Drosophila melanogaster: one gene and its partners. The protein of the gene in region 1 interacts with the protein of each later gene in a pairwise test. Each region holds a gene or a part of one and is shown on either strand. Other genes may lie near its edges. The genes, in order: Srp54, CG14323, CG14490 and CG10324.

Evidence for each region.
Region 2: the proteins of Srp54 (region 1) and CG14323 interact in a two-hybrid assay, tested with the Drosophila melanogaster proteins (one large-scale study listed by BioGRID).
Region 3: the proteins of Srp54 (region 1) and CG14490 interact in a two-hybrid assay, tested with the Drosophila melanogaster proteins (one large-scale study listed by BioGRID).
Region 4: the proteins of Srp54 (region 1) and CG10324 interact in a two-hybrid assay, tested with the Drosophila melanogaster proteins (one large-scale study listed by BioGRID).

Annotation. Positions count from the first base shown.
Region 1 is NT_033779.5:9,908,627-9,917,201, reverse strand, and holds Srp54 (splicing regulatory protein 54), read right to left. Parts: upstream 4,292-8,575; 5' UTR 4,155-4,291; coding exon 2,613-4,154; 3' UTR 2,158-2,612; downstream 1-2,157. Other genes in the region: yip2 (yippee interacting protein 2), read right to left, coding at 81-162, 222-1,150, 1,411-1,577, 1,836-1,854; Etl1, read left to right, coding at 4,726-4,858, 4,917-5,077, 5,431-5,993, 6,053-6,385, 6,446-6,713, 6,770-6,916, 6,976-7,278, 7,337-7,963.
Region 2 is NT_033777.3:17,617,923-17,625,092, reverse strand, and holds CG14323 (uncharacterized protein), read left to right. Parts: upstream 1-2,980; 5' UTR 2,981-2,992; coding exon 2,993-3,625; 3' UTR 3,626-3,894; downstream 3,895-7,170. Other genes in the region: CG14326 (uncharacterized protein), read right to left, coding at 5,482-5,874, 5,940-5,960; CG14324 (uncharacterized protein), read left to right, coding at 6,318-6,332, 6,388-6,768.
Region 3 is NT_033778.4:17,856,632-17,863,982, forward strand, and holds CG14490 (uncharacterized protein), read left to right. Parts: upstream 1-4,128; 5' UTR 4,129-4,167; coding exon 4,168-4,576; intron 4,577-4,641; exon of another isoform or gene 4,642-4,697; coding exon 4,698-4,882; 3' UTR 4,883-4,960; downstream 4,961-7,351. Other genes in the region: orai, read left to right, coding at 180-1,166, 2,627-3,163; thr (three rows), read right to left, coding at 4,967-7,351.
Region 4 is NT_033777.3:16,642,469-16,650,760, reverse strand, and holds CG10324 (uncharacterized protein), read left to right. Parts: upstream 1-3,756; 5' UTR 3,757-3,833; coding exon 3,834-3,970; intron 3,971-4,019; coding exon 4,020-4,741; intron 4,742-4,814; coding exon 4,815-5,587; 3' UTR 5,588-5,689; downstream 5,690-8,292. Other genes in the region: Mettl4 (methyltransferase like 4), read left to right, coding at 1-715; CCT3 (chaperonin containing TCP1 subunit 3), read right to left, coding at 1,022-2,060, 2,127-2,626, 2,712-2,773, 2,832-2,865; Arl6IP1 (ADP-ribosylation factor-like 6 interacting protein 1), read right to left, coding at 6,010-6,213, 6,378-6,743, 6,853-6,876.

The DNA of each region.
Region 1 (8,575 bases):
TATCGGGGTATTTTTAAAACGGAATTTTCAGCACTAATTTAAGTGTAAATGCAGGGCACCTATTACATTAAGCTGTAGGATTAGACAGCCTCGAGGAGAAGGGCGATGCCCTGACCACCACCAATGCACGCGGATCCAATGCCGTACTTTAGCTTCTTGCGCCTGGAAAAAATATATAATTATCAATTTATGACAGGTTGTAAATTTCCACGGAAACTTACTGCAACTCATGAACCAGATGACCAGTGATGCGAGAGCCACTGGCACCCAGAGGATGGCCCAAGGCGATGGCGCCTCCGTTCACATTCAGTTTGGAGGTATCCAACTTCAGGGCATCGGCGCAAGCCAATGTCTGGGCAGCAAAGGCTTCGTTGATCTCAATCAGATCAATATCCTCCAGTTTCTTGCCGGAAACCTTCAGGACGTTCTGAATGGCGGGTACTGGGCCAATGCCCATGATCTCAGGCTTGACTCCGACAAAGGAGAAGGCCACTAGACGGGCCAGAGGCTTCAGGTTGTACTCCTTAAGCGCCTCCTCGGAGGCCACGATCACTGCGGAGGCACCATCACAGATTCCGGATGCTGTTCCGGCAGTCACAACGCCGTTCTTCTTAAACAGCGAAGGCAGCTTGTTCAGACCCTCGATGGTGGTCTTGGGACGTGGGTGCTCGTCCACCACAAAGTCCACTTCCTTTCCCTTGACCTTAAGTTTGATGGGTGTGATCTCGGCATTGAATGCTCCCTCCTTCTGACCCTTCTCCCAGTTCTTTTGCGAGAGCAGAGAGAACTCATCCACACGCTCCCTACTGATCTTGTACTGATCGGCCAGGTTCTCAGCGGTCAGAGCCATGGGCAGCTTGCAGTAGGTATCGGTGAGGCCAGCCCATAGAGCATCCTCCAGATTGTAGCTGGCACCCAAGGTGGTTCCGAATCTCACATTACGGGCAATGAAAGGGCTCTGTGACATGTTCTCCACGCCGCCGGTAAGGGCTATCTTGGCACCGCCGACCAGGATGTCCTGGGCTCCGTTTACGATCGACTGGAAGCCGGAACCGCAAAGCCGGTTGATTCCAAGGGCGGGCTTCTCGATGGGCACACCGCAGTTGAGACCCACATGACGGGGCACATAAATACCATCGGTGGAGGAGGACTGCGAAGTGGAAGAGAAGAGATTTTTAAGACTTACAAGTTACAAAAAAACATAATATAAGCATGTAGTTCCAGTTTTTGATCTACTGAGTTTGCAATTAAGCAATAATAACAAATAAATATCGAGTAAATTAATTTACATAACCAGATGTACAAGTATTTTATCACATTTACATATTTCTTTTAGTTTAATAACATCTTAATATTGTTTTAATCCGACGCCTTAAGAGTTTCTATTTTAGGATCTTCAATCCAACTTACCGCGATCACATTTCCCACGATGACGGTGTCCACTTGCTCACCCTTAAGACCGGCAGCATCCAGGGCAGCCTTGGCCGCCGTGGTTTGCAATTGGGTCTGGTTGATGCCCTTCAAGGATCCACCGAAGGTTCCGAAGGCCGTACGCTTGGCAGCCACAATATAGATACCTTTACAAAGGAGAAGAAACATACGAACATATGTATAACATATATAATGTGCGTAGTGATAGCACAAATTTAGCTCGAACGAAGGCGGATTTTTGTTTTCGATTCAACAGGTCCAAAGTGCAACCGGCTGGACGCGGGGGGGGGGGATAGCATCAGATAAGACACCAACGAGTCCAAAGTTCAGATCTCTCTAGCGAGATCATCTCTTATCTAGACTTCCAACAGCATAGGCATATCCTAAAGGATTCACATAATTACCTTTGGTTGCGGCAGACATTTTCTAAGGTGGGTTCACTCTTAAATAAAACAACAAATAAATTAATGCAAGTAAAGGCGACTATCGCACTGCAATAACTTTCGACTTCTGGTCGCGATTCGCCGCCATCGCCGACATATTATTGGATGAAAGCTCGAAAAGCTTTACCCCGCTCTCTGACAAACAAAGTGAGACAAGCCCACCGATTACAGCTGTAGAATACACTGTGCAAAATTAGCTGCAGTTTGTTCCTTCCTTTGTTCTTAGTGACGATTAGTCACCATCGCTGAATTTCGATTTTTGATGAAACTCAATCAATCCTCTAGTTTTTAAATACAAGTCTCTTTAATGCGTTCTTAATGTATATTTATCAAAGCAATTTTGCATACTTAAGTACTCCTTACAAAATGTTGATCATACAATGTTTTAAAGTTGGTCTTCATTAGAAAGTTTTTTATTAATTTAACTTGCATTTGTATTGGGTTTTCCTAATAAGAAGACAATAAGATTGTTATAGTTTCCAAATAAACAATCCGTACTTGGCAAAAAATTAAAAAAAATTGTACTGCTATGATACCGATATCATTCATATTTGTATGTACTATTTTTTTCATTACGAAAGAAAATGCTTCAGTTTTAATTAGACTTTATACTTGAAAACTATGACAGAGTTGAGTGAAATACAAATCTCATTGAGGACAATGGGTGTCGGGTTGTACTGGAGACGGGGTTGCTTAAGTTCTGTATTTATTATAAAGTAGTATGCAATCTCTCTAGGTCTAGGGCGAGTTGGAGATGTCCATGTTGTCCGACTTCTCGACACTAACCGATTTGCGTGACTTCGAATCGGCGCTGGATCGTGAGCTCTTAACCTCAGTGTCCTCAGAGATGGATTTGAGTTTGCGAGTTTCGGGAGTACGGGAGCGGTCGCGCCGCCGGGATGACTTGGCGGAAACGATGACCGGATCCTTGCTGCGACTGGACCGTGACTTACTGCCGGTAGCTGGCGGCGGCGAGGGAGAGCTGCGCTTGCTTCTAGATCGGGGAGAACGTGAAGAGTGCTTCTCGCTGCGGTGTGACTTCTTGCTGCGCTCGCGGGATCGGGAACGTTTGCCGTTGCCACTGCCTCCTCCACCGGTGCCATGGGAACGCGAGCTACGTGAGCGTGAGGTGCTGCGGCGATGGCGGGACCTGGAGCGCTTGCCACGCGACCTTGAGGAGCGAGAGTGCTTGCCGCCACGGGAGCGTGATCTCCTGGAACGTGAGGAGCTGCGACGGTGTCGTGATCTTGAGCGCTTGCTGCGAGAACGGGACGAGTGCTTGCCACGCGACCTAGAGCGGCGTGATCGGGACACACTACGTCGCTCTCTGGAACCGGAACGCCTGGAACGGCGTCTCGATGTGGAACGATGCGAGCGGGATCGACTGGTGCGACGGTCCCGGGAACGGGACCGTGATCTCGACCTGCGGCGCTTGTCCTTAGCGAGCATTCCAATTACCGGATCAATGGCCGCTGAGATCATACTCTGCGCCTCTTTCACAATGGTCATGGCCTCCTCAATCTCAGCCTGCGCTGCCTCATTCGACTTTGCCTCCGGCTTGGTTATGGAATACGTGGAGTGGTAGACGCTTAGATGGCCACCCTTGAACTCCTGGCCCTGCATGCGCAGGGCGTGAATAATGCTGGTCTGTTCGCAGAACTCAATCATGCAGTACGTCTTGTTATCCTTCTCGGCCCAACGGGCATACTTCACCTCCCCAGCGCGCTGAAAGCATTCCATCAGATCGTCTAGCCGCCACTCGTTCTTAACATCGCACACGATAATGGTGCGCCGAATCTCCTCGATTTTGCGCGCATCGTAGAACGAGGGTAAGGCCGGGTACTCCGGCAGATTGAATTCCACCAACTTGGGGTCGTACGTCTTGATCACTTGCTGCGGCAGCTGTCCCTCGATGCGGTTAATGACTTCGGGCGGTAGCTTGGAGTCCGGCTTCTGGAGTCCCGGCACAATGGTTCCGTTCTTGAGCATCTCCAGGGCCCGATACTCCTCGGGTATGGCCAGAACGGGTATGACAATTAGGGCGCGATCGATGAACACCGTGTTGGTCAAGTGCTGGGCCACCGGCACACTGGTCGTGTCCGTGTATTTCACATAGCAGATGCGCGACTGCACCGGACAGGAGACATCACGGATTGTCGGGTACAGGCGGATCTCCTCTATCTTGCCAATGTTCCCGAACAGCGTCTGCATCTGGTCCTTGGTGGCCTGCGGCGCTATGTTGGTCACCTGGATCACACGCGGGGTGTTGCCGCCAGCCATGTTTGCCAGTTTATCGGTTTGCCCTTGGCTCGGCAAGCGGTTTATTTGCAATAAAAGTGTTTTCAATTAACCTACAAGAGCAAGCGAAAAAAAGAGAGGGTTGCAACGCGTCCCAATGTTTCGATTGTTGGCCGATTGCTTGCGGTAAGCCGATAACATCTGGCAACTCTGGCAACTTTCTTAATTTACCGCCAGTTTGGGATTTTTTTAAGTTTCTTTCTTTCATTTTGGCATCGGTTTTAATTACTTACGGTTAGGTTGACGAAATCAAATCATATACGATATATACAAAAGCAAATTGTTAGATAATCTCATAGAAGCTTACACTAATGCGTTACAGTTCGATAAAAATAAATGAAAAATAATAATAATCATTAAGCTAATACTTAAATTGGCGCACAGTGTGACCGCATTCCGTTGGAGAAATAGAAATAGGTTTTATCGGGATAATCAAACGGCCGCACTAGCATGCGAATATTCACAAATACCAACTTAAGATTGTAGGAGTTGCAAACAGAATTTGTTAATAAGGACTGACAGATTGCCAGGAAGCGTTTCGCCTTGTCCCACGATGTCGGACAGCACAGTGGCCGCATCTGCGTCGGCCTCCGCCTCATCGTCCGCGAAGTCGAGCCTCAGCGATCTGCGTCAGTTCCGCATCAACAAGAATGCTTCCTCTGTCGTCGCTAGTCCTTCGAGAACTGGTACTTGCTGAGCTAAAATTCCAAGCGATTGACACGGTAGCTAACTGCCTGATTTCAGAGCGTGTGCCTGGAAAGAAGCGCATCCAGGTGATGGCCGATAGTGACAGCGATGGCAACGACTCCCAGACGCCCAAGAAGACCAAACTGGAGCTGACCGTTAAGGAAAAGGAGGAGCGCTACATGGCAGCCGCCAAGATTTCGCCCCACTTTGACACAATGGTAGGTTTCCGGCCGAAATGCCACCAAGGTAAAACGGGGCGATTCGCGGGGAAACGCGCGTCTCTGCATCTGAGTTCGGGGAACATGGCGATTCGGTTCGGCCCGGCGTTGCGAACAGCTGTCGTTAGCCAGGGGCGTCACTGACGGGGATGGGAGCAGTAATAACCCTCTCGTGTAACTGTTTCCACTACTTTGGTGTGCCTCATATAAAATATTTCCGGACATTATCACCGTTCTTATTTGAATTTTAAAATTAATCAGAATATTTTATAGCTTAAAATTGCTCATTTTTAATGCAATATTTTGCATAAATCTCGATTTTAACTGAAATAAATTTCAAATATGTTCCGTAGGCCATCCAGGAGTCTCTTTCCCGCACCAATTGGGATGTGGCCGCTTCCGTGCGATACCTAAGGGAGAACTGCAAGCCCAAGGGGCACAATGGACCACTGGCCAAGTCCAAGCTGAAACCCAGGTCAAACGGAATTAGTGGAGGCAACTTCTCGGATAACGACCATTCGGACGACGATGATGTGAAGCAGTCCAAGGACCAGGTGTATGATAGCGATGACAGCGATAGCGAGATGTCCACCAAGATGACGGGGCAACGTAAAAAAGTTTTCCAGTTTATGAACGAGGCTTCGCTAATTGAACTCCAGTCAGTTAAAACGCTGTCCGAGAAGAAGGCATTAGCCATCATTGATGTGCGACCATTTAGTGATTGGTCTGATTTGCGCCAAAAGCTGGAGAGCATCAGGATGTCGGGTGATCTTTTGAATTACGCTCAAGAGCTGATTAACAAACAGAACACGGTGGCCGCTATTCTAAGTAAGTGCAATAACATGGTGTCGCGTCTGGAGAAGGCGATTTCCAATGGTGCTGGCATTGTGGAGCAACCTAAGCTTCTTAGCAGCGGGTGAGCCTTAACCAGCATGCATGTCCCCATTTGTGTTTCTATTTTCGTTCCTCTTGCAGTCTACAGCTGGCTGATTATCAGATAATTGGCCTTAATTGGCTCACCGTAATGCACAAACAAGAAATGAATGGCATTTTGGCAGATGAAATGGGTCTGGGCAAGACAATTCAGGTTATTGCATTTCTGGCCTATCTAAAGGAGAATGGTCTTAGCCAGGCTGCACATTTAATTGTGGTGCCCTCGTCCACGCTGGATAATTGGGAGGCAGAGATTAGCCGCTGGTGTCCCGAACTGGTGGTGGAGAAGTACCATGGCTCGCAGGACGAGCGAAGGAGAATGCGAGGCCGCTTTGCCAAGGATGGATTTACCGGCTTTGATGTTCTTCTGACCACGTAAATATCCACAAAGCCATAAAAGAATCTAAGCTTAAATTTCTTGTACATTTTGAACAGATATCACATTGTGGGATCCACGCCGGAGGAGAGGAAAATGTTCCGGGTTTGCAAGTTGGACTACGTCATTTTTGATGAAGCCCATATGCTGAAGAACATGACCACGCAACGCTATGCTAACCTTATAACCATAAACGCTAGGATGCGAATCCTGCTCACTGGAACTCCGCTGCAGAACAATCTGCTGGAGCTAATCTCTCTGCTCTGCTTCGTGATGCCCAAATTCTTTGCCAAGAGCATTGAGGACATAAAATCGTTGTTTGCTAAGGTAAAACAAAGATTGGTTTCACACAAAACAATATATAAACTTCATGTTCCTTGCAGAAGGGAAAAAGCGATGGAGATCAGGATGAGGTTTCACAGTTCCAGGAAACACAAATCCAGAGAGCAAAGCGTATCATGAAGCCATTTGTACTCAGACGGCTTAAGAAAGATGTCCTTAAGAACCTGCCCAAGAAGCTAAGCCTGGTGGTAAGTACGTCGGGCGAAAATAAATATTATACAATAATTAAATTGTTTTTTATTTAAAGGAAAAAGTGCCCATGAGCAGTCAACAGAAAATATACTATCACGAGCTGGTCGATTATTATTCCAATAACAAGGGCGAGGTGTGCAGCAGCAGCGAAAGGGCCGGCATAGCGATCATGATGGAGATGCGCCGCATTGCAAACCATCCGTTGCTGATGCGTCACTACTTCACCGACGCCAATCTACGTGGATTCTCTAAGCGCCTGGCTAATGCCAGTTCCTTTAAAAAGACCAACGAGCAATACATCTTTGAAGAGCTAGCCGTTATGTCAGACTTTCAGGTCTATCAGATGATGAACAAGCATGTAAGTGACTATCAAAGAGGTTGTCCAATGACAATGACTAAATTTGTGCATCTTTCAGGAGTTTTACGACGTGAAAATACCCGATAATTTGATATGCGATTCTGGAAAATTCCTCTACCTGGATACGTTGCTTCCAAAACTGAAGGCAGAAGGACACCGTGTGTTGCTTTTCAGCCAGTTCACCATGATGCTGGACATTGTGGAGGAGTATCTGCGAATACGAAAGTTTGGTTTCTGTCGCCTGGACGGGGCGACCGCCGTAAATGTCCGCCAGGATTTGATCACCGACTTCAATGGGGACGATAGCATCTTTGTGTTCCTACTCTCCACCAAAGCCGGTGGCGTTGGCATCAACCTGACGGCTGCCGACACCTGTGTCATTCACGATATCGACTTCAACCCGTACAACGATAAACAGGCCGAGGATCGGTGTCATCGCATGGGACAGCAGCGTCCGGTGACCATTTACCGTCTCATTTCCGAGAGTACCATCGAGGAGGGCATCCTGATGGCCGCCGAAGAGAAGCTAAAACTAGAAAAGGACATTACTTCCAACGAGAAGGGCGAGGTGCACGAGCAGCGATGTGTGGTCAAGCTGTTGACCACAGCCCTTGGCTTGGACAAGGATCAGGAGGAGCAGCTAAACAATTCACTAAACAACTCCATAGCCTCGCCCGCCAAATAGGCATTCTCGTTGTCCTCGTTCTCGTCCTTGTCCCCACCTCCGTATTTATTCTGCGCGAGCATTTGATCAACTTGGTCTAATCGTCCTACCGCTGTCAAATCCTGTTAACATCGTTTGAATTATTCTAACAATATTGTATTTGTATATTTTTTAAACTTGTATGCAAGGAGAGATTTGGTGTATGGTATGCCAAAAGTGGATCATAAATCGAGTTAGTAATTTTTCACCGTTGAGGCGACATTAGTTTTTCTTCATTAGTAACAGCAACATTTCCACGATAAACCAAGGCAGACAAGTTAATATTCTTGTTTTATTGATTTGTCATCATGATTAGTTTTCATTTCTGTAATTTCTGTTTATGTATCGAATTGAAACTATTGTTATAAGGATAAAGATCATTTTGTGTACGAATGCGATCATGTTCATTTATTTCTACATATTTGCTCTATAGTTCGAGCCGCTCGACAACCCTAAACGGATCGCTCTCGCATTTTCCCACGAGATTCTTTTGGTTGTGTGGTGCAAAGAGAAGCGGAGAATCGCTTTCCAGAGAGCACAACTGTAATGAAGAGCTTTCGGCTGGCGCGGCGATTCATCAAGTCTTTAGTCTTC
Region 2 (7,170 bases), on another chromosome or scaffold:
AAATGCTGGTATACGTATTGTAAATAAAGAAAATATTTTGTATGGTTCTTCCCATTCAAAGAACGCTAGTACTTTACATACATTTTTATACGTGGACCTCGTTGAATTACTTTTTAAGATCTTCTATTTGAAGAGCATGTCATTTCAGCTATTGACACTTTAATTTGAATTGGGCAAGGCAATTATGAAAATTTGGTCAGGCATATAACGCATGGCGCCGTGGCTTAGTTGGTTAAAGCGCCTGTCTAGTAAACAGGAGATCGTGAGTTCGAATCTCGCCGGGGCCTACACAAAAGATTGTGTCAGTATTTTTTAGTTTTTCATATCTTTTTAATTTTATCTTCATAGTATCATCTATCAAAATCAATACTTGACCTTGAGTTATTTTTAATGATCATTGATACCTCCAACCACCCACCACAGAAGTTTCCAAATTTTCAGGTTCAACATAAGTGGCGCCGTGGCTTAGTTGGTTAAAGCGCCTGTCTAGTAAACAGGAGATCGTGAGTTCGAATCTCGCCGGGGCCTTCTCTCAAACGCGAATTGTGTTGTGCGTGTTTTTTTTCCTACGGGGTATTCAGCTGTCAGTCTTTTGGAATCAGAATAAAGGGAAAACTCTCGTTTTTCTTTTGCACGTCTGCCCCAATGACAGCTGACAAAAAGTTTGGTCGGCGTAAACAGTGGCTACGGACTCAGAATCACCACCACCTCGCACATCCTTCTCGACATCCACCTGTTGTTGTCCTTGCAGTGGCGTTGCATAACGGAAACCGTCCGGCGGAAATGTTCGACAGCATGTTGCGATGTTGTCCACCGCAAGGTGGAAAAAAAACGACCGGAGATCCGGGGCCTCGTATATTTGCCTTGCAAATGGAACGAACGGCTTTTCAATTTCATTCGCTTTTCTGGATAAAGGGGTCTCCCTGCAATTAGCCGACAGTCAGCTTATTTGTTTCAATTTATTTACATGCACTCGGTTCTGGCTTATCTTGCTTTTTTATACACAAACGCACTCAAGCCCACCGATAACTCCGGGCCATATAATTATGTAACAATGGAGGGAAAAACAAACTTCTGACAAGCCGAACAATGGTATATTATATTTATAAATTTAATTTGCAGAGTCCTTTTTGCTTGTAAATCGGATACAGCAATGTCCTCTTCTAATTTCCCCCCGAGAATTAATATCTGGTCGTCTGCTGCGGGACTTCACTTATCGGATACAAAAGTTAGTTGAACGATTCCCTTTTGATGATCTCAAAGTTTGGCCATCTCCACTAAAATATCCCCCTAATATTTGCCCAGACGATATAAGCTCAGTTTCTGGGCCCCAACAACATGTGTTCAAGCATACATATATCATTCGCAATGCTCTAACGCCCACCCCAAAAAAAAGCTGATCCAAGCCTCATCGTCACCCGAGATTTTTAGCAATTGTCAGCAATTTTCTCAATGTACAGGACAGCCCAGAAACTATCTCACAAAACCACTAAGCAAATGTCCCTCGTCCAGGACGATGTGTGCTGTGTATTTTTCTGATTATCCTGGACGGTCAGTTCGGCCAAAGTCGCACACAGTGGGCGTGTACATAGCTGAGGCATTAACATAATTTATGTGGTTCCGCCGGATTTGGCATTGTCGTAAAAAAGGACACTCCATTGTCCGTTTCGAGCTTCGATAACAAAGGCAAAGCCCGGCCGAGGATTGTGGTTTTTATTGTTTTGATGGCAACAAAGTTTGTGGAAAGTTTAGTTAGTTTTTCTGTTGACTTTGCGTATTTTTTTAATTAAATGAATTTCGTGTTGGAGAAATCAAATAGTTGCCAGCTAATCTATGCAGCCATAACTCATATTTTGAAAGAATATCTGGTCGGGGTGTATGAAGTTCATGGTCCGTAAAAACGTGCGAAATTTTCACGGGCGCGTGAATTTTCACAGCCCTTGGTGGTTCTTGTTTTTGTTTTTCCAGACACGGACGTGCGCCACCTCCTTTTTTACCTCGTACTGATTGTTGTCACCTGTTTTTTGCACACTTTATTCGCAGGCCTCCCGCTAAAAGTTGGGTATGCGGGCATGGCTCAGAAGTTGGTGTTTTTCCTGATTCAATGAGTATAGAGTTCTTGAGCAGCACAGCCTTACAGGGTGTTTAGGCGTCGCATTATCTTCAACTGCTTAAAATGTTAGTACACCTGGCACGCAGAACTCATAACTCAAAACGGTTTTTGTTGCCCTCACAAAAGTATGTAATGCGGCAAAATAAAATCAAGCAGCAAAAGTCAAAAACTTCGAGTTTTTCTGTACATTTAATAATGAAAGATTGCTCGTACGTGCGGCTCGCGAGTATTTACGTGGGAAAGGAGAACATTTTTAGGGATGCATACTTGGGAAATCACTGCAACTTTTTTTTATACCTATTTTTAAATTTTTTTAAACCAATATGTAAATTCCGGAAATATAAAATAAAAATAAACCTTCTGGAGATGCGGGGCATCGATCCCCGTACCTCTCACATGCTAAGCGAGCGCTCTACCATCTGAGCTACATCCCCGATGTGAGCGCCGCTAACTATTTTGGACTGTATGTATAAAGAAATAGTGGTTTAGCGTTTTAATTAGATAAATTTGGCAATCTTTGCTTTAGTTTTAATTTAATTTTGGGTTTTCATATAAATGAAATGAAAATAAATAAAATGAATGCCTAAAAAAGGAAATCGTTTTATATAATTTTTATTCAAATACTTAACTTAACTTAAGATATACATTTTCGGATATGCATTTTAATACTTGTACAGATTTCGGTCGGTAACTGGGGCAGCCTTGAATGTTTTTGTATTAATAAAATTTCACGCTTTGTTTGCTTTGCCAAAGTTACAGCACTTGAATGTTCATTACAAGGCCCATTAGGCAGCCTGTCTTCGTGGGACTCACTGAGTTGGAGTTGAGATCGGACGCAAAGTAGTCCGCCTACAGATTTCAGCAGATGCAGTTGGGAAAATGGCAGTGCTCCAGATTTTATTTTTGCTGATCCTGGTCAACAGCAATGGATCTCAGAAAACCGACTTGGATGTGGATGAGGAACCAGATCATACAGGACCAGAACCAATCGATGGACGATCGTTTTTCTTTCTGGGTACTTTGTTTCGTCGTTGGCGTAACCGCTGGATGGCCTCTCACAATCCGGATCCCATATTCGCCGGCCCCGCCTATCCCATATCTGGTTATTACAATTGTCCTGTATATGGCTGCAGCCTGGCGGCTATTGGTCCTCAACCAGGTTACTACGCTACACCTGCAGGATTTTACACCATGCCTCTGAATCAGCAGCAGGCTCAGGGGAACAGCAATGTGTATATCTATCAAAGTGATCAAAATTCCGCGACGTCTGGAAGTCCCATGGGCTATGGGTATCTGAGCGGAGCTTCGCCGATACGACCAGCTCCGCCTTTCCCTCCACCACCACCTGGTATGCCACCGCCCACATCCGTTGGAACGGTACAGGCCAGCGCAGGTGGGTATTCTGGACCAGGAGCAGGACCTGGACAACGGCCAGGACCGTTTCCAATACCCTTCCAATACCCTGGGATGAATGGGAAAACAAGTAGCCGGAGGAAGCGCTCGCCCAAGTAAACAGAGCAGAGCAAAGTAAAAGAAAACAATACAATTTTAATTGAAATGTGTGCGTCAAAAAAAGTTAAGTGAAAAGAGATAAAATTAAGTTTTCGAAACCGGAAAATGTTTTGCACACTAAAAACCGCAATCTATTGCTTAAACTAAGACAAGAAAACTCCAATATCCTACAAAATTATTGGATTATTATTTTAGTGCTGACCAATGTTTTTAAGCTATTAAAAAAGTGTACTTAAATAATTTCGCAATTTAATAAAGACCGTAAAATTAAGTGTTTCCATTGCTTGGTATCAATAAATTTAAATGAAAACCGTTCATCTGTGCAATTAAAATCATTTTGTTTACATTACCAACTAGATTTCGAAAGTGGCGCAGCTCCCCGGAAAAATCCTCAAAAAGGGTTACCCACGCACACACTCACACGTCCATTTATCCATTAACGCCAAAGGAAAAACTCCACAAGCAATCTGCATAAACAAACTCATCATCATCATCCTCACCAGCTGAAGGATGAGCTCGAGGTTCCGGACGAGCAAAGCCGAGCTATCGTAGCTCCGGCATTTGTTTTGATTCCATCATAAACCATAAGATAGCTGCAAACGAGGATGGCTGATGAAGTGGTTGCAAGCTGCCCAAGGAGCTGGGGAGAGATTCAATTGTTTGGCAAATAAATGCCCGGCAGCATAATGGATGGCCATCCATTGGCCTGGTCAGCTCCGTGTCCGCTCCTGTTATTATTTTTATATAACTTGCGAAAATAATAATAGAGCTTGCCCATGCCCAAGGGCGTGGCAGAAGCAAACAACCATGCGACAGTTGAATAAACAGAAGTGTGAAAGTGCAGATAGTGAAGGGATCTGGCCACCGGAATCTGCTTTTCCACATATTGAGGCGTTTGCTGACTCCTGTCCAATGCTCTCCGTCTTCATATGCATTTGTCCTGGAGTTTATTTATGTTTGTTCTAGGACAATAAGGAAAAGCAAGTGGGATGACTCCAGACTCAATTGACAGGTGTTTGTGCTTTCTTTCGGACAACTTTCACTGACCGGAAACGGAAATGAAATGCATAAGTAAATTTAAAAGAGCCCACAACGCTCAATTCTTATCTACTTTCAAGCATTCAAGGCTGAAACCAGAAATTACGACCAAAAAACAACTTATGTTTTCAATTACCAAATGAGTTGACCAAAAGAAGTGATTTTGAACATCTACGCTGGCTATTTTGGTACTTTGACACAACAGTTTCTGACGGGGATGTAGCTCAGATGGTAGAGCGCTCGCTTAGCATGTGAGAGGTACGGGGATCGATGCCCCGCATCTCCAATTGATAATAATTTTTGTTATCAACTATATTTTTTTAAATTATGTTTTGCTTAAAAAAATTTAAATATATTTATTTAAAAAATATTTTACGAAGTTCCAAAAAGTTAGAACGGGCTCAACCGGGATTTGAACCCGGGACCTCTCGCACCCAAAGCGAGAATCATACCCCTAGACCATTGAGCCGCTTGTCCGTTGGCCTGATAATTGCACATTTTACTTTATCAGGCTACGCAAACAAAAACACTGCTGTAAATAAACAAGCAAAACCACTTTAATTAAGAAAAACGAAAAATAAACATTTGTTTGGGAAAAAGAAAATATAAGACTTATTCCTGGAGATGCGGGGCATCGATCCCCGTACCTCTCACATGCTAAGCGAGCGCTCTACCATCTGAGCTACATCCCCTTATATCAAGCGGTCACCGAAAATAATAAAATGCCGAACTTGTTTTTTTCATGAATTTTAATTAAATGGTCAATGTCAACAACTTATAAATCAAATAATACTTTTAGAGGTACCAAAATTGTGGTCTTAGCCATAATATCCACCGTATGGATTGCCGTATCCGCCACCGAAGCCGCCGCCAAAGCCACCTGGATAACCACCAGGAAGACCGCCAGCATATCCGCCTCCTCCGATTGGGTATCCACCGCCGAATCCGCCCCCATATGCGGGAACTGGCACTGGGTAGGGCTGCGGTTGCGGACGATTGCCACCCAAAAGGCCGCCCAATAAATTTCCGAAAAGTCCTCCACCGCCACCGCCGCCTCCAAGGAGTCCTCCTCCGCCACCGAGGAGATTTCCAAGGATACGATTGTCTACTTGCCCACCAGTAGGCTGAGCTCCAGTTCCCGGCGAAGGGCGCTGCTGTGGATACTCATATTGAGCGTATGAACAAGCGCAAAGCGAAAGGAGCACCAGCAGCTAATAAAAGGGAATCCAAATTATTAGGAAACATGTGATCTTCTGTATAACAAGCCACTACTCACCGAACAGCTAATCTTGACCATGTTTCTAGTTCGTCTTAAATGTGACTGACTTGCTTAGCCACCGATTGTTTCAGTTTTTATAGCAATGTTCTTAAAAACCTACGCCCACATTACTCCGGAACACGACCAAAAGGCGACCTTCAACCCATCTGAACTTAACCGACTTCAATGTTTTTCACACGGTTTCTTATATTTTGCTGTTAGTTGCTGTGACTAAGTTTTGATACAATAAAAATTGATAGGTTCGATAAACTGGTTATGGATCAAGTTTTTGCAAGTTCTTTGAACTATGCAAGAAAAGGAAGTTCAGGAAGTGCTGGGACATTGCTATAAATACGGCCGTTCTAAACTTGGCAACGCTTAGATCCAATAGAGAACATGAGGCAAAACAAGGTGAGTGTGTGACTTTTATATCTGCACTTCAGATGACGTGATTTTTCATTCGCAGATAACGATTTTGGGTCTGTCCCTGCTGCTTTGTTTGGCGCTTGCACACTCACATGGTTTTGGTGGAAAGCTTGGAGGAGGCTACGCCCCTGTCTACAACAACTTTGTCCCATATCCAGTTGCCCAACCGATCCCAGTGGCCCAACCTGTTCCAGTTCCCGTGGCTATTCCTCAACCAATTCCAGTCCCAGTCCCCCAACCAGTAGTTATTCCCATCAAACACGGATGGAAGGGTGGTCTAGGTCTAGGTGGATTTGGCGGAGGTTATGGCGGCGGTTTCGGAGGCTACCAGAACTTTGCCTCTGCCTCCTCTTTTAGCTCTGCCAGTTCATTTGGCGGTGGCTATGGCGGATTGGGTGGTGGCACCTTTAGGCGGCGCTGAGAGTATTGTTCTATGTTTACTAAATATATATTTTAGATTGTTACATCAAAGCAATGATTTTTGTTTGTCTTTAGAGGCTTACTCAAGAAAATGCCTTGCTTTGCCTAGTTGGAAACTGGCGAACAGCTGCCTACTCGTTATGAGGCTCAATGGTCTAGGGGTATGATTCTCGCTTTGGGTGCGAGAGGTCCCGGGTTCAAATCCCGGTTGAGCCCAGCTGTGTTATTTTGTTGTTCAACGGTCAACTGCACGTTCAAATTTTTTCTTTGCAAATTTTCCTGAAAATTAAAGAAAATATTTAAACTATAGAAAGTAAATGGTTTAACCCGTAAACAATATGTATGGATTTCAACCCCATTGGCTTATTAAAATATTGGTACGTTTCTATAGCATCGTTTTATT
Region 3 (7,351 bases), on another chromosome or scaffold:
AATCAAAATTCAAGTTGAAGCGGACTTGTTGCTTTTCTTAGAACTGAGAACTAACAGCAAAAGATACATTCTTAGCCTAGTTTAGATACTAACTGGCTAATATTTATTGTCGCAAAGAGAGGGCATAGAATATTTATCAGACTAATTATATCTGATCCATCCGAGAGCGAGAGTAGTCCATGCCACCCTTTGAAGAGGGTGAATCCAAGCCAGAGGAGCAGATACCTCTAAAGCCGCCCCGACGCCACAAGAAGATGAAGTCAGCGGACCAAGAGGCCGCCCAAACGCCGGCGGAGGATCACGAGGAGGAGCAATTGCTGCCGGGCAGCGGGACGAGCAATCTGCGTTATGCCCGGGCCAATTTGAGCCAGAGCAGCCTGATGCTGAGCCACCAGCAGGGCTCCTTCGAATCGTCAACCGAACGAACGGCGAGCAGTGAGACCCTGGATGTAATGCCGATATCGAGGCGCTACCAGGTGCATCCACAGCCGAACCGCTTGGGGATTCGGCAGCCAGCCTCGGCCTTGGCGAGCGCTCTGCATGCCACTGCCAGATTGGCGGCCAGTGTGGATGCCTATACGGCGGCGGCTACAGCCACAGCGGCAACCGGTGACTACGGCGATTATATGCGCCCGCAACCGAACCTCGGTCACGCCCACCAACTGCCCCTCACCCAGACAACCCAGACAGCCCAGCCCCTGCACCACCAGCTGCCCGCTCACCAGCTGGGCAATCTGAGAGCGAGCAATTTTGTGGGGTCGTCGCGGTATCTCTATCACAGCCAGTTTAATTCGAATTCGCCGCAAACGAGACGCTTCACTGCGCAGCGAGACGGGTCGCCAGCATATGCGGCTTCAGTGGCGGCAGCTTCAGCGGCGGCCGCAGCTTCAGCAGTAGCACCGATAGCGCCACTAGCACCACTAGCCTCCATAGCATCGCCCCCATTTGCGGCCCAGCCGCCGCCCTTTCAGTTGCGCACCTACCAACAGAATCAATCCTACCGCTTTCAGCCGCGCGGACACCATCGCACCGCCAGCAGCAGCATGTCGCAGTCCGGCGAGGATCTCCACTCGCCCACCTACCTGTCCTGGCGGAAGCTCCAGCTTAGTCGGGCCAAGCTAAAGGCATCCAGCAAGACGTCCGCCCTGCTCTCCGGATTCGCCATGGTGAGTTTAAACTCTTAATTATTGAGACTTTATACTTTACAAAGGGTTTATACAATACATTGACAACTGTTGTTTTAAAATTAATGTACGTAAATATCAAAGCAACATCATTATACAAAGCTAATTTTTCATCGAAGATACATAATGTAACAAATTAGTTTAGTTTTAAACTGAATCTCTAAAAGAGCAATTAACTTATAGATACCTTGGAAATGCACATAAAAATCCATTATAAATTACATTTCGAAGGAAAAGCGATTTGGCGCAAAAATCACATTAAGTTGGGCATTTATGTGTATTAAAATGAAACAATTAGGAATTATTAGGCTATTTTGTAGACTACAATTTAACTACTTTTTTGCCCTAGGTTATAGTTCTATGTTTTTTTTTTTAACATTAAGCCAACTCAATGTGCAGGGCCAGAAATGATGGCAAAAACCACATAATCTTTTTATTTGGACATCGCATTTCTGTTTGTTCAGCACAAAAGGCGGAAAATGCCACCACGAATATGGCATACACTGTAACAAAATAATTATTGTTATTTTATAATAAGAGTGGTTTCCACTTGGCGTATCGCGCAACGGAATGCAATCTGTTATTTGTTCCGTTTGAGTGCCCATTAACCTACTCGCAGTCGCATTTAAGTAATTTCAATCATGACAGGGATATATAAATATATATATATGTATATATATATATATATATCATACATCAATAATTAGCCTTCTGTACCTGTGAATATTGCTAACCAACATAATTATTTTCGATGCCGGCAGCAAGAAATTGAGGGCCAACGAAATAGATTTCGTTTTATTCCCACTATCGTTTTCTTGGCCAAACAAGTCTGTTAGCTGTTTGCCGTGCATATACTCGTATGTATTTCTCACCCATTAATTATGGGTAGTTTAGACTATTGCAATATTGTAGCAGTTTTGCTGAAGAGGAGCAAATATCAAAGCAAATATCAACATACATCATGATACATTCGTTGGTTTCCCAGCATTGTTAAAATTCCCACTTATTGTCTAGCAATTCCACACACGACACAGTTAAATCTAGATAAATTATTAAATTATAGTATGCAGTACATAATATTAAATAAATCAATTGGAAAATGTGCAAGTATTGCAGGTGCTGAATTATTATATTAATTAATTGAGTGACGAGGTATTTATATGTCGCTTTTTTTTTTTGGTTCATCAACTTGTTATGCATTCCACATGTACACCTAGCATGCTGAAGAAAGGGAGGCGCGGCATTAGGGGCGGATCAGATAAATTAGGTCCATTCAGATCACATAATATAAGAGAAAAGTTGCTTATTTGCCAATTTTGCAATGTTCTCGCGAGAAATGGCTAATAATAATAAGAGGCGATGCCGGGGAATCGTTTCGATTTCTAACCAAAATTAAATAAAAATCATTAATGACTTTCTTCACTTTTGCAATTTTCACATAGGTGGCGATGGTGGAGGTGCAACTGGATCACGATACGAATGTACCACCGGGCATGCTGATAGCCTTCGCCATCTGCACCACCCTCCTGGTGGCGGTGCACATGCTGGCCCTGATGATCAGCACCTGTATCCTGCCAAATATTGAGACGGTGTGTAATTTGCATAGTATTTCCCTGGTCCACGAATCGCCACACGAGCGTCTCCATTGGTACATTGAAACGGCGTGGGCATTCTCCACGCTGCTGGGACTCATACTCTTTCTACTGGAGATAGCCATCCTGTGCTGGGTGAAATTCTATGACCTAAGTCCGCCGGCGGCTTGGTCAGCGTGTGTGGTCCTCATACCGGTGATGATCATCTTTATGGCCTTCGCCATTCACTTCTATCGCTCCCTGGTGTCGCACAAATATGAGGTGACAGTCTCGGGCATCCGTGAGCTGGAGATGCTCAAGGAGCAGATGGAGCAGGATCATTTGGAGCATCACAATAACATACGAAATAATGGCATGAACTATGGCGCATCCGGGGACATTGTCTAGCATCACTTGGCGTATCCGCACAAGTGGATCGAACGAAAAAGACAGCGGCTCAGGGTAAGCTTCAGATTATTTTTAGTGAAACACACATATTGTAAATTTGTAGTTGATTAAAATTGTGATACGCGGAATTCAGTAGATTTCTACTATATATATATATATATGTGCGAGTGCTGCTGTAGTCCTTTATTTTACTTATGGCAATTGCGGATTAGCACGGATATTGACAATGATAAAAGACCCCAATTAAAGCAATACTTCGGATGAATATTCCTCAAAAAATTAGCTGATATTTGTTACATATTTATATTGCGTGTATTTTAAATTGTATGCCATGCCGGATTTTCTTTTTTTGCAACCATCCTTAGGCAGTCTTCCCTTTTTACGTTTAAGACACAACTTGATTGTCAAATTTAATATTAAGCCAATTGTGTAAGCGAAACCGCGCTGTAATTTATACCATATAATTTATGATTAAAAGAATTTTCTATATATATGGTGTTGGAGTTTTATTTTTAATCGTGATATATAGCTGAACAATAGATGCGGATTAAAAGAATGCAAAATTTTAGAGACAATTTGATATATTTTATATGCAACATAAAACAATTGTAAAATAAAGTATTTGAAAATGTACTGCAATATTTATATACGAATTATATTCATAGGTATTCCAATAGTTTTGGAAAATATAACAGTCTATTTTCGATCTTTACCGATGTAAGCTAAATAGCGCTGTAATTTATATACGACTGATTAAACGATTTTTACTACATACACTTAACCGGAACAAACGATTTTCTATTGAGCCAATGTCTTTGGCCTCCTTAAGTTAGCGTGTCGCTGCTGGAGGAAGCCAAATGGTGGCAAGACATGCTGCTGCTGGCTGGGGGGGTTCGATTAGACAAGTGACACCACCGCACGCACACCGCCGCCTAAAGTCGGACGACACCACATGGCACCGCCGCAATTGGACGGACTTGCTCCCGCGCTCAGTCATCGAAGACATGTCGTCGCGTACGAGCGGATATAGTAGTGGAGTTCGCTCTCAACGTTATCCTGGTGGGCAGTACCAGGGCAAATGGTTGGGCCAGCAGCCTCACGGGTTTGGGGTAAAGCAAACGAGCAGTGGACTTGTCTACGAGGGTCACTGGCAGAAGGGTCAACGGCATGGCATCGGAAGTTTGCGTCGCAAGGAGCTCGATGGCCGCATGGAACGCATCTACGTGGGTCAGTGGCGGGAGAACAAGCGGAGTGGCGAGGGCAAGCAGTTCTATCCGGACGGATCCGTCTACTTTGGTCAGTGGCTAGCGGACCAGCGAAGTGGAGAGGGCATCCTATGGCAGGCGGATGGCGGCATCTATGTGGGCGAGTGGCTTCGGGACAAGATGCACGAAAAGGGTTTACTTTTCACGGGTGAGTGTGATAAAGAAATAAGATATGTTCCTTTGGATGTATTTGTTTCATTTTATTTATTTTTTCGCAACTTTAAAAATGCATAAAGATTATAGATAATAAGTTAATATGTTATCCATAGCAACGGGAAATCGCTACGTGGGTCAATTTGAAGGAGGCTGCAAATCGGGCTCAGGTGTATTTTACCATGCCAGCAATGGACAGCGGATTCAGCACGGTTTTTGGAGCAAGGACATCTGTAGAACGTCACTACTGTCCCTGCCACAAGATAAAAACAATGAATTTATGTCAAAAGCTCTTTTGTAACACTTACACACAATATATATATATATTTAAATACCAAGACATTTTCGATAAGAATAAATACGAACTAAGGAGACTACTATCTAATCAGTGCCGATGCCGTGTGCGTGTGCTAATGGACTCCGTTTCGGGAGCCTGTGCTTCCAAAACCTGGCGCCTCGTTCGCTTGGATGAAAGAGTCGCTGTCTTTGGTGTCTCTACTGGTTGGCGCAGCCTGGCTCTGGTGCTCCGTGTACTTGTAGTTATTGTCGGCGTTTCTACTATTTCCAAGCTATTATCCAATGTTAGGACTTTACAAGCTTTGGATGTGGCCTTGGGTTTTGCCTTCTCCCTACTTTTTGGTTGTGTCTTCTTTGTGGACACCAAAGGTGAATCGTCATCGTCGCTTATCTCGATCGCTTGGCAGGCATTTAGATCCACGTGATCCGAAGGCGGTGTATTCTCTGTTCCGCTGCCACCGCTGCTACTGCAACTGGTAGCACTTGGTGGTCGTAGTTCCAGCTCCTCGTAAATTCTGAATCGAGGTGCCTTTTTGGCCGACTGTTTAACTTTAGACGCCGTATTCTTGACTGCTGAAACCGATCCTATTGCGGTTCGTTTCTTATCTTCGGGTGAGTGATTGAATACCAAAGCACGTCGAAGGATTTTGACCTGTGGCTTATCCTGACCCACGGGTTTGAGTTCTAACTGAGCCGTCTTTAGCTGAGCCAAAAAATTGTACTCGAAGTTAATGTCGACCGCGCGTGATCGCATTTTAAGGCCCAATTGAGCCGTTGATATAGCCTCTACATGCTTTCGCGCAAAGCGAAGATAGTTCAGATGATACAGCTGCTGGGCATGCAACATGGGATACAAAGCGCTACTCATCGGAGGTTTTTCCTGCATCCAACTATGCGCTCTTCCATAGAATTCGTCCAATTGTTCGCTGTTTCTCTGCAGAAAGCGGAGACGTGCATGTAGACAGCCCGTTACAAAGTACAAGCATTGCAGCTGGGAATTCTCTCGAAGATTCGCTGGCGCCACATCGAGTGTTATGTAGCGATCCAAGTCCAGTTGGGGATTTGGGCTATGTGGTCGCATTTTGAGCAGATTCGGCGAGGCCATATTTAATAGCTGCTGCTTTCTGATCGGCTCCACCAACTGGAGGAGATGCATATTACTAGCCAGATCTCTAATTGCTACATCCTTAATCGCTTCCTTTTCCGGCCTACTCGTTGGATTCAGCTGTTTTATACCTAAACAATGCTCGATGAGTCTCAACTTCGATTGCGCCTTGTCGAAACTTTCCATTTGCAAATTGGTCCATAACCATGCAAGGAATACCTCTATGGCTCTTAAAGCCAAGCCAGATTGGAGTACCAAATGTAGTGCAATGTTGGAGAAGGACAGTCTTTCGCTTAATCTGTTCGCAGAGCACTCGGTGCTTTCCCTGACAAGAGTCGAAAGAAGCAGCTGCAATGAGCCGCCATCTAAACTGGATAGATTGCAAAAACTTCGCACATTGTCCAGAAGAATGTCCAATTGACGCAGAGGAGTCGGCAGCCTGCAATTCGTTGGCTTCCTTTGCTGATACCCAATTCGAAAGCGCACCGTTTGCAGTGTAAGCAATACAATATCACTTTTTCCTTGTCTCTCAGGAAACTCTTCGCGAAGTTGTTCCACATGCAATAGAAGCAACTGGGCATGACTATAGCATTCCATTCTGGCATAGTAACTGGCGAGGTGACAAAAACAGAGCATTACCGTAGTTTGCTGACGCTTGAAGAATTTGCCATTTTTCAATTGAGGCCACAAATCATCCAGCAATTCCTCTGCTACTTCCACTTCCTCGCCGAGTTTCAGATTTAAACGAGAACTAACCTCATTCTGTGACAGAAAATGATTTAGGGCACGCAGATAGGTAAAACGATCTTCCAGCAAGCGACCCATCCTCAGAAGCAACAGCCAGGCATCATCCTCTTCTGACTGATACCCCATACTTGAAAGTGCATTGGCAGTAGCGATGGCATCGTCAATCAATGCCTCCCAATCAATAGACGTTTCATTTGCGCTCAATGGCTCTTGATCTGCTCGATCGAAGAAGTTGCTGAAGGCCGAGATGGCTTCACTAGCATAGTTGACCAATCGCTGCTCCCTTTGTATGTTCATCTGCCATAAATTCTTGCTGAGTAGCAGCTCCTCGAACATATTTTCCGTTATCTCCTTGGTGGAAACTTTGGTTTTTTGAGCCTCCAGTGCGTCCAGTAGTAGTCCCACACTTGCGTGGCCCAGGCACAAGTTATCCATTCGACTGAGCGAACGTTGTTGCCTTAGCTTATCATGAACCTCTATGCATTTCTTCGAAATCGAGTCATCCTTTCGCATTTGTCTGGCCAAGAGTACCAGATGATAGTCACTCGTTCGGCAACGAATAAGTGATTCCATATGAGCCGTAGAAGGACTCCTCAAATAGTGTAGTAAGGCAAAGAAATC
Region 4 (8,292 bases), on another chromosome or scaffold:
TGGATCCCGTGGCGTGTACTTGATTCCCAATCAATCCCGATTCTTCAACCACAATGTGGACAATCTGCCTGCACTACTGCACCAACTTCTGCCCGCCTACGATCTCATCGTGCTGGATCCTCCGTGGCGGAATAAGTACATCCGCAGGCTGAAGCGGGCCAAGCCGGAGCTGGGATACTCGATGCTGAGCAATGAGCAATTGTCGCACATACCGCTCTCGAAGCTTACGCACCCACGGTCACTGGTGGCCATCTGGTGCACCAATTCGACGCTGCATCAGTTGGCCCTGGAGCAGCAGCTGCTGCCCAGTTGGAATCTCCGGTTGCTCCACAAGCTCCGATGGTACAAACTTAGCACAGACCATGAACTAATTGCTCCCCCGCAGTCGGATCTCACCCAGAAGCAGCCTTACGAGATGCTCTACGTGGCCTGTCGCTCCGATGCTTCTGAAAACTATGGAAAAGATATCCAACAGACCGAGCTGATCTTCAGCGTGCCCAGCATTGTGCATTCCCACAAGCCACCACTGCTGTCTTGGCTGAGGGAGCACCTCCTGTTGGATAAGGACCAGCTGGAACCAAACTGCCTGGAGCTGTTTGCCCGATATCTGCATCCCCACTTCACTTCAATTGGCTTAGAAGTGCTCAAACTGATGGACGAAAGGCTATATGAAGTCCGTAAAGTAGAACATTGCAACCAGGAGGAGGTAAATTAGCTACGCCTAATTATTGTATTTAATTTTTACAAGTACCTCATTAAATAAGGGATTTATAAGCAGCTATGAGTTTTAACAATTTTATTTGTGTACTGTTAATGAGAGCAAATGCATTTGAATTTTGTGTGTAGGCGGCCGGCGGATGGGTTTCCTTCTTCCAGAGAAGCCAACGATGCCTGGCTGAAGCTAAATGTTAAACATTTGGGGTGGCGTGTGTGGGATTTTGTTTTGTTTTTTCTTTTGAGTGTTAAATTAAGTATTAAAGGATAGTAAGCATTATTAATACACGTGGTTAATCGCAGGCTACTACTCCTGACCCTGGGCCATGGCCGCCGGATTGGTGGGCTCGTTGCCGCCGCGTTTCTTTGATCCAGAGACGATATCATCGATGCGCAGCAGCAGGATGGCCGTCTCCACGGCGGTCTTGTAGGTCTGAAGCTTGACGGCCAGCGGCTCCCAGATGTTCTTCACGTTCATGTCCACGATTTCGCCGGACTCGCCGTCGATGCCCCAGGCGCAGACACCATCGCCGGTGTGGGAGGCGTGCTTGGCGCGGAGAGCAGTCAGAGCACGGATCGTGTTGGCGCCGCAATTCTGAGCCAGTGTGCGCGGTATGATCTCTAGGGCGTGGGCCACCGCCGTGTATGGTCCCTTAACCTGCTTGCGCGTGAGCAGCTGGGAGGCAGCCATCTCAACGGCTCCGCCGCCAGCCACCAGGCGTGGCTCCAGCACCAAGTTGCGGGCCACGTGCAGGGCGTCCTGCAGGTTGCGCTCCGTTTCGTTCAAGATGTCCTTGCTGGCACCGCGCAGCAGGATGGTGCAGGCCTTGGGCTCCTTGCACTCCGTCACGAAAGTGAAGTACTCATCGCCGATCTTTTTGACTTCGAACAGTCCAGCTCCCGTGCCCACATCCTTCTCGGTTAGCTCCTCAGTGCGGTTCACGATGGTGGCACCACAGGCGCGGGCGATGCGCAGATTGTCAGTCTTACGCAGCCGACGGATGGCCGTGATGCCAGCCTTCAGCAAATAGTGCTGGGCGAGATCGGAGACACCCTTCTCAGTGAATACCAAATCCGGTTTCACGGCAATGATGTCGGCGCAGATGCGCTGCACAAACTCCTCCTCGATCTGCAGCATGCGGGTGAAGTCTTGCTCCCCGATTATCTCCACGTTGGTTTGGCTCTCGCCCTTCTTGTACTCCAGCGAGCAGTCAAGCAGCACGATGCGGGGATTCTCGATGAGGCGTCGCATCTTGGGATGCGTCACGTCTTTGTTGATCATCACGCCCTTAAGAACACACGACTCCTCGATGGCGCCACCCGGGATCTTCTCCACCTTGGCATAGCTGTGAAAGTAACAAAGTTAAAATTATTTATTCAAAAATAATATGCATAACAAATTTCGTTCTTACCGTTTAATGTCTACCTCCAGACGGCCGTTCTCACTTAGCGTCACTGTCTCGACTGCGTCCAGGGCAATCTTGACGGCAAGGTCGGACCACTTGCCAATGAACTTGGTGCCCACACAGGCCTTGACCACATCGGCCATCTTGGCCTTATCCTTGACGTCCAACTGGATGCTAAGCTGGGACTGCAGGTGGCCGACGATGTCCTCGAGGGCCTCGCGATAGGCGCGAATGATAACAGTGGGGTGGATCTGTTGCTGGAGGAAGGGCTCGGCGGCGGCCAGCATCTCGCCGGCCAGGACGATGACCGATGTGGTACCATCGCCAACCTCCTCGTCTTGTGTGCGAGCAATTTCAATCATGCTCTTGGCCGCCGGGTGCTGCACAGTGATCTCACGCAGGATGGCGTTGCCATCGTTGGTCATCACGATGCCGCCCATTGGGTCCATCAGCATCTTCAGCATGGCCTGTGGCCCCAGACATGTGCGTATCACATCGGCGATGGCCTGGAAAAAGACGTTTTAATCAACAGATGGTCGGAAAACGCGAGAACACAAAAACCCAAGACCCAGACATGTGAGTCACGCATACCTTTCCGGCTTGGATGTTCTCCAACTGCACTTTGCGGCCCGATTCTCTCTTTGTGTTTTGACCTGTCGGCGGGTAATTCGATTGCAATTGGGCTCTACGACGTGCAAATTTCATACTCACTCAACACGAGTATTGGCTGCTGTCCACCGAACATCTTTCTGGCTGTTTAATTTATTTCTGCGTGAAAACAATTGAACTCGTGCTGGCGCTGCCGCTGTTTGAAAGAGAATGAGTGAGGTTAGAACCGCCGATGACACATTATTCGAGAAGGTTCGATAGGATATTGAGCGGACCGGCTTGTTAGTTACTTCTGCCAGTTCCTTCTTCTAGTTTCTTTTCTTTCCTCACTTACTGCTAACTGACTTTTGCGATCGCTTATAAGTTTAATTCAAATTCTCCACAATTCGAAGCAGCAGCTCTCTTAAGAATCGATATCGAGAAACAGTATACTTACACTATGCAGCTTTTGTTATCGATGTCACAGAATTACATTCGTCATAACTGCGATTTTTTGAAGGCGCCTAACTTGGTTTTAAATTTTCCACCCTGAGGTTTAAGCGAAATCAAAACATTAAACTTGTAACAATAAATAATATTTTCTACGGTGTAAGTGATACTGGAAATTAATTTATATTACGAATGGATTTTAAATTTATGTTATATAGCATATTTCTATCACATCATAATTAAAATGTGGAAATTTTGAAGCCTAAAAAGCCTAACCAACTAAACTCAAAAGAAGTTAAAATATAATTTATGAAAATTGTATCACCTTCGAAAAAGAAAATGTTGGAGGATATTCTGAATATAACGGGGGAAAAGTGATTACTTGGAATGATGAGTTACATAAACAGCGTCGAACTTTTTAATATTTGAAGATCCTGTGCTGTATTCAATAAAACTGCTCAAAACGTATTAAATGGATTTCATGGTAGTTTTTATATATAAATGGAAAAACAAATAAGTTTTGCAAATACTTTAAAAGTGTAGTGTAAGCGTTTCATAAATTAAATAAATTATCGATATCGATAACAAACCGCGAGTCAGCTGTGGCCTGTTTGTTTACGATACATTTCGGCTTCAATTTGTTTTTAATAGTTATTAATTTTTTAACTAGACAACATGGAGGCCAAGAAGATATCTTTTGGCTTTAGTAAATTGTCCAAGAAACCAAACATTCTGCCCAGCAAGCAGCCGAAAGAGGAAAGCAAGGTGGAGTTGATAAAATGCTTGGAAGGAAACGAAATCATGCCAGTCGAGTAAGTTAAAATATCTTGAAATAGTTTTATACTCATATGTAATATTTAGCGAAAAGGTGGAAGCTGCTCCTCTTACCATCAAAATGATAGGCATGCAGAAGACTTCGTCCGCTTTGGCGAGTCTGATGAGGAGGCGGGCAGTTCTGCTGGGCGAGGAGGAACCGGATCCAGAGGAGGTGACTCCAGTGGCTCAGTCTATAGCAGAGGTCACCGCAGGCGGTCCAACGGAGAGTCTGGAACAGAGAGCAGCTCGGGAATTGATATCTGCCATCCAAAATAACGGTGCCGAAGGCCTAGATGACCAGAAACTTGTCCTGCCCGCCCTAAGCGCAGACGAACTGCCTCTCGATGGTGCCAAGGAGGCAACACTAGATGACTATGACAACATACCGATACAACAATTTGGCCTAGCCATGCTGCGCGGCATGGGCTGGGTTGATCCACCGCCAAAAAAGAAGGGCTCAGGACCCATCGATGATGCCCCCTTTCTGCGACCCAAAGGCATGGGCCTGGGAGCAGATAAGGCGCTCAAACCTAAAGCTCTACTGGTCCAGCCGGAGAAGAACGAGGTACTGGAGATTAAGAAGCAGGCGTACGTGCGCATTCTGGGCGGAAAGCAGAAGGATCAGTATGGCCAAATCCAAGGTTTTGATGACCATGCAGGGCGAGTAATTGTCAAAATGGCAATTGGAGGGGCCAAAGAGGCGTTCAACGAGTTCCTTTGTCAGCCCGTATCCCGCAAGGAGTACTCTCAGTATGGCAAGTGCATAAGTAAGTGGAGCCTGGAAAATGCAAATCCTTTATATTTGTGACATTTTTATATTTCTTTTACATTTACTTTCAGACACTGCCAAATACGAAGAATTCAAAAAAAATGAAAACGAGCATGGCCAGATTATTGTGAAGCAGGAAAATCCGTCAGGAAGAAGGGACAGAGACCGCAGGGAAGAAATTAGATCAGACCGGGATGAAGCTCAAAATCAAAAGAGTTCGAAGCCAGGGGACCAGAGATCTAGTAAAGAAGACTATCGCATGAAATGCAAGGAAGAAGATAAAAGGTCTTACAAATATGAAGACAAAAAAACGTACAAAGACGAACATCGCAGGACGTACAAAGACGAGCGAAAATCGTACAAGGAAGCCAAATCTAACAAAGAGGAGGTGGATCGAGAAAAGAAGTATGTGCGGAGTGGTAGCTCCTCTGTATCTAAACGCGAGGAACGTGAGCGTCGTCGTTCGCCGAGTCCCAGAGGCAGAAGCCCATCTAAGTCGAAGCGGGAAGACCGTGACCAAAAGCGTTCGCAAAGTCCCCGAAGCACCAGAAGAACAAAGAGTAGTTCAGACGAGGCAGACGATACGGGAGAGTCCACCGAGAGCGACTCCGACTCTGCATATGAACGCAGGAAGCACAAGAAGAAATCATCCAGCCACAAGTCAAGAAAACACTCAAAGAAGTCCAAGAACAAGTCGAGAAAGGCGGACAACGACTCCAGCTTAGAGAGCGATGACAGCCTCGGTGAAAACCATCGTCGTCACCACAGCAAGCACAAAAAGAAGACCAAGAGGAGCAAGCATGTCAGGTCCCGCACGCGATCAAGGTCAAGAGACCGTCAGTGATTGATCTATTTAGTTGAAATCTTTATTTAAATATAGTTCATTAGACGCTTAAGTTCCTTTTTTTATCTTACTTGGGATTATCATAAATTTCAATTAACTCACAAAATAATCACAAAAATGCCTTGTCTTTTGTTGCGCGTTTTTTTCTCTCTCCGTACGCCTCGTTTCGAGAATACTTCTGTCTTACATGTTACAAACTTATAGTAGGAGATGTGATGGGGCCAGAACCACGGATTTGCTAGTTTTCCGAGTTTTTTTTTTCTGTATGCGCTGCTCTTATCTTTTAAGATATTTATAGTTTCAAATTCAATGCGCCTAATGTGTGATTTAGTGATGCGATGTGTGCATAATGGCAAGTAGATGACTTAGGCATGTTTTATATTTTTGGTCAAATGGTGATGAGTTTATCTGGTTGCTTTCCTTTACTGCAGCTTCCTTTTGCCGCACTGGATCTTCTCGTTAATAATCTTCGAGGCCCTTTGGGTGATGGCCTTAAAAATGTCCTTGTTCTGTAGTCCTGGCCACATGAGGATGAGTAGGGTGGCCAAGTACATAAGCAGTAGATTGTTAATGATGGCTCCAATCCAGGCCATAGCCAAAAGACCCAAACTCATGACGATTACAAACTGGAATCAAAACGAATAAATGTGAGATGAAATAATAATAGAACCCGAAGTTTTTATTTACACTTGAGCTTGCAGAAGAAGATCTACTGCACATACTAGGCCCTGAAACTGCTTCTCTGTTTTCATATACATATACACACACGGTCTCTACCGCATCTACTCACCACTGTGGACTTCCGCTCGTTGAAGAGGTACTCGTACCAGACCACCAGGCTGCCCTTGACGGCGCACACCTGGCCGCACACGTCCTCGAACTTGGCCTCCTGGTCGCCATCCCAGTTGACTCCGCCAAAGATCAGGCGCGACACCATGGGGAATGCGTAGTTCAGCAAAATGCTAATGACACCGAGCAGCGACAGCAGGGTAATCAGCGACAAGTCCAGGTACCACAGCACCAGGTACAGGCAGCTGATGACGCCAAACACCACTCCGGCGTAGTACTGCTTCTCCCAGGTTAGCACGCCGTACGCTCCCACGATGGCTGTCCGGAAAGGCTCCAAGTCGTGCTTTAATTTGTTAAGTGCTCGTTTCTGGAAAATGCCGGAAAATGAGGAATCATTATGATATTAACTAATGGGGCTTCAATGGCGACGCCGTTTTCCGGCCGGAAAGCTTTCGGCAGTTCCACCCTTCGCTCACCTGGTCAACCTGCGATGCTGCCATGCTGGCTTTTCTTTGTTTCCTAGCGGTGCGCGTTCAATTCCGAGAAATCTATTTGATGCCCAAAGGTGTTGCTTTCGGTTTGAGCGAAAAATCAATTTTCTTGGGTGTTTTTTAAGTCGCCAAAGTCGCAGTGTGACCGTTGATCGACGTTTTGAAATGACTGATTCAGGGGTTGTTTCACTCAAACAGCGATTGCACTTTCAATCGGAACTTATCGAATTTTTCCCTTTACAACTCTGTTTTAAAAGTTTGTATTAAAAATCTTGTATTGATTTGGCTAAAATCTGATGCTAAATTCTAATGCCACCTGACATTTGGGCTTACATTTTTGTTTAAAATCTTGACAGCATCCTATCATAAAATATTGATTTACTATATCATGATTTTTATAAGCAGAACTAAAAGCCCATAAATGGCTTAATAAAATAAATACATAAATCAAAAATTAAATTGCCGTACTATTCAATTCGAAACTACAAAAATGGAAAGCAAAGCATCATTTTGGCTTTTGCTAGTTAATCAAGCAAATCAACAGCGGCTTACTTAGATAATGAACTCAAAGCCACCACATCTTGTATTATATGCAGATAAAATGTTGTAAATATAGATCTTAAATTCTTATATCAATGGCACGGAATAGCTTTAGTTTATTGCTAAAAATTTACTTCAAAAGAAATTTGTACTTAACTATCATGAACTTTAACGAAGCTACAAAAAAATATATATATATACATATATACGTTTGGACAAAATGAAGAGTTTCCATCTGTTTCCATCTCGAGGAAATTCAAATTGATGGTTATACCACGGGTAATTGAACTGAAATCTTTGATTGCTTCGGTACAATACAATTGTGTAATTGTTGGGTGAATGGGAGGAGGGTTCATACAATAGTTCATTCTGTTGATCAAATAAATTCTTTTGTTTAAACAAGTGATTGCATTTTGACCTAATATATGGACAGCGTCGTGGGACTGAAGATACCGGCGGAAATGTGTCCTTTCGGACAGCCTTGCAACTTATTGCCGGATTTCCCAATAGAGCTGATGGCATTTTCCGACTTTTCCGCTTTAACACATTTATTACCAACATAAATTCCCAGTGAAACCTTAGGTTAGAGCCGTTTTTATTAAAAGTAGACAGAGATGGGATGAGAAATACATTGAAATAAAAGCAAGTCCGATTTCGATTATTTACTCATAAATCAAAGTATAATCTACGATTATAAAAATTAGGCTCTTTATCTATATTCGACTCCAAATAATCAGTAATTTCAGTCGCATTCAATATTTAATTTGAATGATAGACAAAAATTAATCGTGTTAGGAGGTAGTCTCTACATATATCTAATGGATGATGGATGGTTATGTTCAGGTGTTTTTCTTCGAAATACTGCACATCTTGTAAGTTGCCATT